2 linked regions of the Coturnix japonica genome follow. The protein of the gene in region 2 binds, or shares a complex with, the protein of the main gene of each other region. Links are inferred from orthologs where the notes say so. Each region holds a gene or a part of one and is shown on either strand. Other genes may lie near its edges.

Region 1 (3,810 bases), on a different chromosome or scaffold from region 2:
TTTTGGTGTCAGCTTTCCTTTTATCTGAGAAGGCCAAAAAAACAGCTTGGACAACCTTAAAGAACCCCCCCAAGCTCGTGACATGATCTGCATTACTTCAGAGATAGCCTTCTGTCCTTAGTTACCTGGGGTCCTGTATAGGCAGGGGGCTCAGGAAAGATGAGGTGCTGACTAGAGGCTCCAGCCTTTCCTGGGCAGTGGGTCCACTGACCATCACTGTTGCTGTAGCGGTTCTTGACCTTAAAGCTTTTGGCTTGTTTCCTACTAGGAGGACTGCCTGCATGGTCAGAATCCTGAAGAAAAAACAGGAAACAGAAGGTGAAGGATGGTCATGCAGAGATGCCAGGATCACTGTCTAACAAGTGTAGGCTTCAAGTCCACAGCTCTAAGTCCAGGCAGTAGTCCAAAACCAAGCAACAAAAGCTAAGACGCTATCAGAAAAGGTTGAGTCAAACCACCATCAAGATGGCAGCTTGTTATAGTATGACCATCTGTAATGGTGACGGGCTCCTACAATCCCGGCCTACGAAGTAGCACTACAGCCTCCTGTGGAGGTAGCAGGCTGTGGAAGGTTGACAGCACAGGCCAAGCCAAAGGTAGACAAAGGAAAGGGTACAACCTCACCTCATTGCTTTCCAAGGAGCCTTCACTGCTGACCCCCAGGGCTTTGGTCAGACATTCACTACTGCTGCTGCTACTCCTGACAGCTGCTAACTTATTGGTGAAGAAAATGTTATCCTCTGGAAAGGAATGGGGGGAAAAAAAACAACAAAAAGACCTTGAGGCTGCACTTGAATACATTCAATACAACTTAATACATTGAATACTTTCAATACTTCATTGTATTGTTTTACAAGAACAGAGAATGGTTGAGTTCAGAAGGGACCTCCTGAGGCTGCTCTGTCCAAAATCACACTGAAGACAATTAGAACCACATAGAGGAGCATATTCAAGGACAGAGACTCCACAGCTCCTCTGGACACTCTGCTCCAGCCTCAGACACTCACCCAGTAAGAAAGCACTTTCTTAAATTCAGAGGAAAACTCTTTCAGCTTGTCAAATGCAACAGCTTTCTGGCCACTAATATAGTGGTGTGATACTACAGACTCAGGTCAGAGGTGAAGATCCAGTAACCATTGCTGCCTATCAGTCTAAGGAGACTGGGAAGTGACAATGGAATCCAAGGGATGGGTCTCACCATCCAGTTGTGCACTGCAAGTCACATTATTTATTTAAGATAGTGACTTACCCCGGCTGCTGCTGCTCTCCACATCTTGCTCGTTAATTGGAGAGGTAACATCCCGGTTCCGGATATCATCAGCTTCGTAGCTGCCATCATCATTGAAGGTTACATAACCTTGAGGCAAGACTTGCTCTGTGTGCAAGAGGAGGAAAGAACAGAGGAATTAGGACGCAAGTTACCAGGGAGGTCCCAGCAGAAAGAGCAGTAGGTTGGGTATTGCATATAGTATCCCATTCATCAATACCCAGCTCAGACAAATGCATTCAGTGGGTTTCATTTTGTTGTTGTATAACCTTGTATGAAGTAGATAATTTTTTGTTTCTATAAAAGCCATGCATGAAAAACTCTAATGAAAAGATACTGTTGGCACAGAAATAGCTGTAAAGCACTTGAGAAACCATAAATGACTCTCAGGCAGGCTTCTAACTATTCCTACCATAGCAAGACTGCTTCTTTCCCCCAATTCCAACTGCTGTTATCTTAGCCAAAGCCTGGGGTCCATCATGGATGCTGGGACCCTTGGTCCTGCGAACAGGTCTCTGTCTCTGGGGGGCAGAACACGATTCATCTGAGGAGCTCAGCTCTTCGTACTTTCCTGTAGTCCAAAGAGAGATTGTTAGCAGCATGGTAATTCATGTACCTACTTACAACTGAGCCTACAAAAGCAACAGGAAATGTTATAAGAGAGGAGAGAGTTTAACTAGGTCAGAAAGGGGCCAGTAAACCACAACAAAAAAGCATTGGATCTCTGCCTTTTACATCCTCACAAACACTGGAAATTCCAGAACGGAGCAGCTAGTTTTACCCCTATCTATGTCATGCACCTATCTTCAGCTTCTATTTTAAAACAAGCAAACTAAAACCTGTTACCTGAACCCCTGCAGAAGACCTTGGGTACTGGGGCTGCATGCAAGTCTATCAACCCCACAATCTTTGTATGTCCATACTTCATAGCCAGTGTCCGCGCTGTGGCTCCAGCGTTATCTCTGGCATCTGCTTTCACCCCCTATAGGAAAACAAGCATTTGAAAAGCTCATAGCAGGTGTGTACTATGAAATAAGATATTCAGGACAGACAATTTGTCTCGGTTTCTCAACAACCCCCAAATGCCAAGTAGCCTACTTATACAGCTCTTGTGCATCACCAGTGGGAGCTAGCTGGCTTTTATCTGAATGCTTTGCATTGCTGCCTCCTTCTGGAAGTAAGCTGAACCATTAAATGAGATATTAAATTGTTTGGCACGAAGAAACACGAATGCCAATAAGCTTCAGGGCCAAGACAAGATATCCAGTAATTCAAGCATATAAGCCCATGCACACAGCAGAGATTACTGAATTAGCTGCTTCCTGATTCAGAAAGGATTCAGTCACATCAGACAGACCTTATTCCTGCTTGTTAAAGGCAAGCATTATACAATTAGAGTACTAGCCTTCACAAACAGATACTTTCAGAAATCTGGGGCTACAGATCAGAGATGACTTTCAAAGATCAAATGTAACACTGAGAAGATGGATATTAGTCTTGTGCTTCTTTCTCTGAGGGTCAGAACCGCAGATTTTCATTTATAGAGACCTGTTTGAACACTCACATGATTGAGAAGGTACTGAACAATTATCTCATGGCCAGAAGCAGCTGCTTCCATCAGAGGAGTATAACCATAAACAGGCTCCCTAGGGAGGGAAAACACACACAAGAGCTAAAATAATCAAAGATAAAACATGTTGTATTTGTTGACATACCATAATTGGCCTGACATACCCTCAGCCTTCACCTTTATCTGGTCACAAACTGTGTGATACATTGGCTATTCTACTGCATTCTGGCCTCTCTCAATAAATACAGAAACAAGATACTCCTGCAGCTGCATCCCTATCCCTCAGTGACAAAACCCCAGCACCTAGTGGAGCAAGAACCTCTTGCTGTTCTTAGGCAATTTAATGTGCACAAACATACAAGCAGATCTCAAGTCACAGTAATTCACTGCATGCTTCAGAAACGGAGTTCAGAATGTGTTGTGTCTGTTTTCTTTCAGTTTATTCCATAATTAAGCCAGCAATAAATCTAATCTCTCGACAGAAATTAAGCAATAGATTCTTCCTTACTTGCAGTTGGCATTCGCCCCGTTGTCGAGTAAGAACTTGACCATCTGCTGATGACCAGCACTGGTACAGTGAAATAAGGCAGTCCAACCATGAATATCTTTCATCTCCAGCTCTGCGCCTTGCTTCAAGAGAACAGAGAATGTTCTTAACTGCATCCCCTCTGTGCTGTGATACCAAGAGAGTTTAAATCCCTGTCAGGAAACCGGACTCAACTGAACAAATAACACACTGGTTGCAGCTGATTAAGAATCCTACTCTGTGCAGTTAGATCGTCTAGAACAGCTTTAGTTATTTCTTAAGGAATACACACCTGGAGAAGGAAGTAAGCAACGCTCTCATTTCCACAGCTGGAGGCTAACATGAGAGGAGTCTGCCCTTCTGGTGTTGGGATGTTCACATTCACTCCTGCCTCCAGCAGCAGGTGCACAACGGTGTCATGGCCAATGTAGGAAGCGTACATCAATG
Region 2 (4,402 bases):
ACCTGCTGGAAGCTGTAGGGAATGCATCAAGAACAGCATTGCTAGCAGTTCAAGGGATGTGATTGTCCCACTCTACACTGTACTGGAGTGGTCTCACCTCGAGTATTGTGCAGTTTTGCATGCCACAGTATGAAAAAGAACTATTGGAGGGTGTTCAAATGAGAGATATACGAAGATGGTGAAGAGTCTAGAGGGAAAAGATGAATGACTATCATCTGAGGTGCCTGGGTTTGCTCATCCCAGAGCAGAGGAGCTGAAGGGAAGCCTGATGGCAGCTGCAGCTCCTCACAGGGAGCGGAAGGGCAGCGCTGAGCTCTGCTCTGTGTGACAGTGACAGGGCCCGAGGGAGCAGCATGGAGCTGTGCCAGGGGAAGGGCAGCTGGGGTTGAGGGACAGGGGCTGCATCAGGGGGCGGGAGGTGGCACAGCCCCAAGGGCTGGAGTTCATGGAGTGTTTGGACACTGCTTTCAGACAGACATAGGGTTTGAAAGACAAAGAGTTGCACTCAGTGATCCCTATGGTATCCTTCCATCTCAGGATACTCTATGAATCTCTAGAAAAAACTGGAGGGGCATAATACCATACTCTTAAGCGATATGTCAACTGTAGTTTATTTCACCAGAGCTTTGTATATATGTATGTATATATAATTTATTTTTATTTTCCTCTCACTTTAGCTGTTGTAATTCAGTATAACCTGGAAAAGGTATCAAGTTAACTTGGAGGCTTGGAGAGAGTAAAGAGACTTGAAAATGCCAAAAGAGATCAGCTTTACACTCGGAAGTCTTTAAATTGAGGACCAGCTGATAGGCACTATCCGGGTGCAAAGAGGAGTGTGTTGGGTGATAACCAGATCCCTTATTGAGGGAAGGAGAGAGACTGGAAGAGAGGGAAAAGCTAAGCAGGAAGGTGCAGGTATAAAGTAGCTATAGTTGGGCTAGCAGAGAACAGCTGGGCTGTGGAAGCTATGCTACAGAGCAGGAGAAAGGAACTGCTTTTTCAGGCAAAAGACAGTTCTGTAACAAGGGCTTGCTGTGGTGGAAGGAAAACTGGTACCGTGGAGTTAGTTCTTTGTGTGGAAGTAACCGCAGCACGAACATGGCGTGGAAAACAGCTGCTAAGACACAGACCCCCGGAGAAGGGGCAGGAGCCGCGGAGCCCCAAGCACCGCCTGGATTAGAAGGCAAGGCCGGTCCTTACGGCTCTGAGGACCGCAGCTGAGGCGGCTTTCCTTCCTCCCGTAGCGAGCGCGGTCGGGCCGCCCTCGGCCTGCCTCCTCCCGCCGCCGGAGTCCCCTCCTCCCCACCGCTGCCTTCCCAGCCGCCGCCGGGGGCGGGCGGGCACGGGCGGCCGAGCTGCTCGGGCCCTGCCGGCGCTGCCCATGGGGGAATGCGGGGTGCCCGCCCAGGTCCAGCTCTTCCTCCGTGCTTGCGAGCAGGGCGACTGCGAGACCGCCCGGCGTCTGCTGGGGCTTCCCGGGGGCACCGCCGGGTCGGCGGCCGCCTCCGCCTGCGGCACCGACGAGGCGGCGGAGTCCCGCGGAGAAGCGGCCGCCGCCGCCCCTTCCCCCGCCGTCGCCGTGGACTGCACCGACGAGGCGGGCAACACGGGGCTGCAATTCGCCGCGGCGGGTGGCCACGAGCAGCTGGTGCGGTTCCTGCTGCGGAAGGGAGCCTCGGTGCAGAGCACGAACCACTACGGCTGGAGCCCGCTGATGCAAGCGGCCAGGTAGGGGCGCCCGCTTCCCCGCCGCGCCGCAGGCCCGGGGCGGGCGGACACCGGCCTAAGCGGCGGCTGCCTGCACCCCAGGGCGGAGCAAGCGAGGGAGAACCCCGTAGGGGCTGGGCCGTGGGGAGCTGTGATTTTTCTGAGGGGCCAGTCACCTGTCGACTCCCCGGATGACGGTCCCGAGCCGGGAGTGTGAGCTGGGATGAGTGTTCTGGTCAAGTGTTGAGTTTCCTTTTTCTTCCTCTTAACTACGGCCGCGTAGGTATGGAAGGGGCATGAAGGGGTGCGATGGTTGATTCTAGGCAGGTTGTGTTGTTGCTTGAGCAAACCTAATGCAGAGCTAAGGCGCCCTGAAGCCTTGACCTGAACGTGAAAGCACTGCCTGCCCCTCGTCTGTTCAACCGTGCTTCGTTTTCTATTGTTTTCACATCTACCTGTTGAAAAACTCTGACATAACATAGATTGAAGTAAGTAGAAATAATTGATTTCTCTCAAGCTTTTCCTTCCTTTACTAAATGGAGAAGGATATGCTTATTGCTGGAGGATACACAAAATGATTCCTGATCATACCTGTATGAACTCTAACGGATGTTAGGGTGAAGTTCTTCACTAGGAGAGTGGTTAGGTCCTGGTACAGGCTGCCCAGGGAGGTTGTGGATGCCCCGTCCTTGGAGGTGTTCAAGACCAGGTTGGACGGGGCCCTGGGCAACCTGATCTAGTAAAGGTGTATGTTTGGTGGCCCTGCCAGGCAGGGGGGTTGAAACAACATGATCCTTGAGGTCCCTTCCAACCCGGGTCATTCTGTGATTCGTGCAGATGTTAATGACAGCTCAGGATCTCTGTGCATCATACCACTCTATCATTCACTGCAGAGCTGCAGTAGGCTCTGGTATTGCTGCTGCTTGTGTTTGTGTTTATCTTCACATACAAGAATACCCTGTGGAATTACGTATTTTGCAAGATTTGAGGGCAGTATGAATTGAACGTTTGAGAGGTTATTTTTGTATTTTTTTTTTTTTCTTTCATAACATTAAAATACTTGGAAGAAAAGGATCTGTTTGAAAGTCAACATTCTCCTTTCAGTTAAAGCCCACAGAAAGTTCCCAAAGAATGAGTCACACAGCTGGTTTTCCAGTAAGAACAAGGAAGACAAGGTTCAGCAGTTCTGTTATTTCATGAAGGTTAAAAAAAAAAGTACCAAAAACATTCATAGATTTTTCTTTTCTTTAATGAAAACCTTACACTCCTTCTCTAGAGACAATAAACAAAATCACTATAGCCTGCTCATTGTTTGACTTGTTACTGTTTGAGAAGTACTATAGATACAGAGATCTGCAGAGAAAGCTTAAAATAGCAGAACGTTTTTTGTTTGTTTGTTTTTAAATGGATAACTGAAAAAGAAATGCAGTAACCATACAGACATACTTTTCAAACTATGCACATGTTGAATTTTCTGGCTGCATTTAGTCCTGCTGAAATTGGTGACGTAGTGTCACCAATTAATATATAAAAGTAACCACATCGCCAGTGACTGCAGGAGCTGCTGTAGTGATGTAGTGAAAGCAGGAAGGTTGCATCCCAAGCACTAGACAGCCCTTGTAGTCTTCCTTTTGCAACTGTGTGTTCTTTGCGAGGATACCAGGGAGTCTGGATCTCACATCTACTCTTAGTGGTTGTTGCATTCCTCGGGATTTCCTCAAATAACAGATTGTCTTTCTTTAGCATGTGAAAGGAGCTTTCAGGATCAAAACTCGATTGTTTTTAACCCTGCACACACATTTAGTAATGCATGGTAGCTGCAATGAGCTGCACAGAAGTGTATATCCTGTGAATGTTTTATATTTATTAAAATGAGAAATTATTTCTTCAGCAGAGGAGGGATCTAGGATTCCCATTTCCTCATTGCAAGCTAGCTGATTGATGGGGTGGCCTGTATGGTTGCCTTTTGCTCACTGACAAATTACTACAGCTTCTGACAGCCAGGATGCATTGAAGCTGTTCTTTCGGTGAAACCAGTGTTAGAATCCAAGTTCCAACACAAGGAGAGTTTTTCTGTTCCCCCAGTGCTAAGTTCATCTTCTCTTATTATATCAGTGGCTACCTACTATATTGTTTTCTAAGCTTCATAAGCACATCACACTTGCCTGTGTTCACTGAGTCTTCTTTCACTGTGGGAGTTGGTTCATTTTTCCCAACTGCAAAACAGGGGATGATGCTATTACAAAATATAAGCAAACCATTTCATATAATGGCCTGGCTTTTTCCTTTTCCTTTTCCACTTTCTTTTCCTTTTCCACTTCCTTTTCCTTTTCCACTTCCTTTTCCTTTTCCACTTCCTTTTCCTTTTCCTTATCTTTTTTCTTAGCATGAACTATTTGCAATTTTTACCGTACTTCTTTAATAGTAAAGAGGGTATTTATTTAATACCTTTATGAGCAAACTGACTTTGATTGCCAACTCTAATATGGGCCATGGGATACAGGGCTGAAAGTGAGTTCAAGTCTTGTAATTTATGGAAGCTATTCTGTTGATGTCCTGAAGCTAGCATGTTTGTTGCTTTGGCCACAGCATGCTCTTATATCGATGTCCAGTTTATAGGCATGGTCAGTGGTGCATGTGAAGCATTTTAGGAAGGTGCAGTGCTCAGGTGTTGGTTGCTCCCCTTCAGTAAGGT

What was found.
Region 1: the proteins of ANKS6 (region 2) and ANKS3 are in contact, whole or in part, in a crystal structure (PDB 4NL9), measured with the Homo sapiens proteins. The link is inferred for Coturnix japonica from reciprocal best matches to the Homo sapiens genes ANKS6 and ANKS3. Residues at the interface, in NP_775822.3 of Homo sapiens: Glu796, Gln797, Glu798, Val799, Asp800, Glu802, Ala803, Thr806, Leu807, Asp811, Glu814, Leu815; in NP_597707.1 of Homo sapiens: Lys441, Tyr442, Thr470, Leu471, Phe472, Gly473, Pro474, Arg476, Lys477, Arg484.

The regions. Positions count from the first base shown.
Region 1 is NC_029529.1:11,296,062-11,299,871, forward strand, and holds part of ANKS3 (ankyrin repeat and SAM domain-containing protein 3), read right to left. Parts: coding exon 3,656-3,810; intron 3,537-3,655; coding exon 3,346-3,536; intron 2,914-3,345; coding exon 2,832-2,913; intron 2,250-2,831; coding exon 2,114-2,249; intron 1,839-2,113; coding exon 1,680-1,838; intron 1,376-1,679; coding exon 1,250-1,375; intron 741-1,249; coding exon 625-740; intron 294-624; coding exon 126-293; intron 1-125. UniProt on the Homo sapiens protein: May be involved in vasopressin signaling in the kidney.
Region 2 is NC_029517.1:43,441,384-43,445,785, forward strand, and holds the start of ANKS6 (ankyrin repeat and SAM domain-containing protein 6), read left to right. Parts: upstream 1-1,300; 5' UTR 1,301-1,381; coding exon 1,382-1,728; intron 1,729-4,402.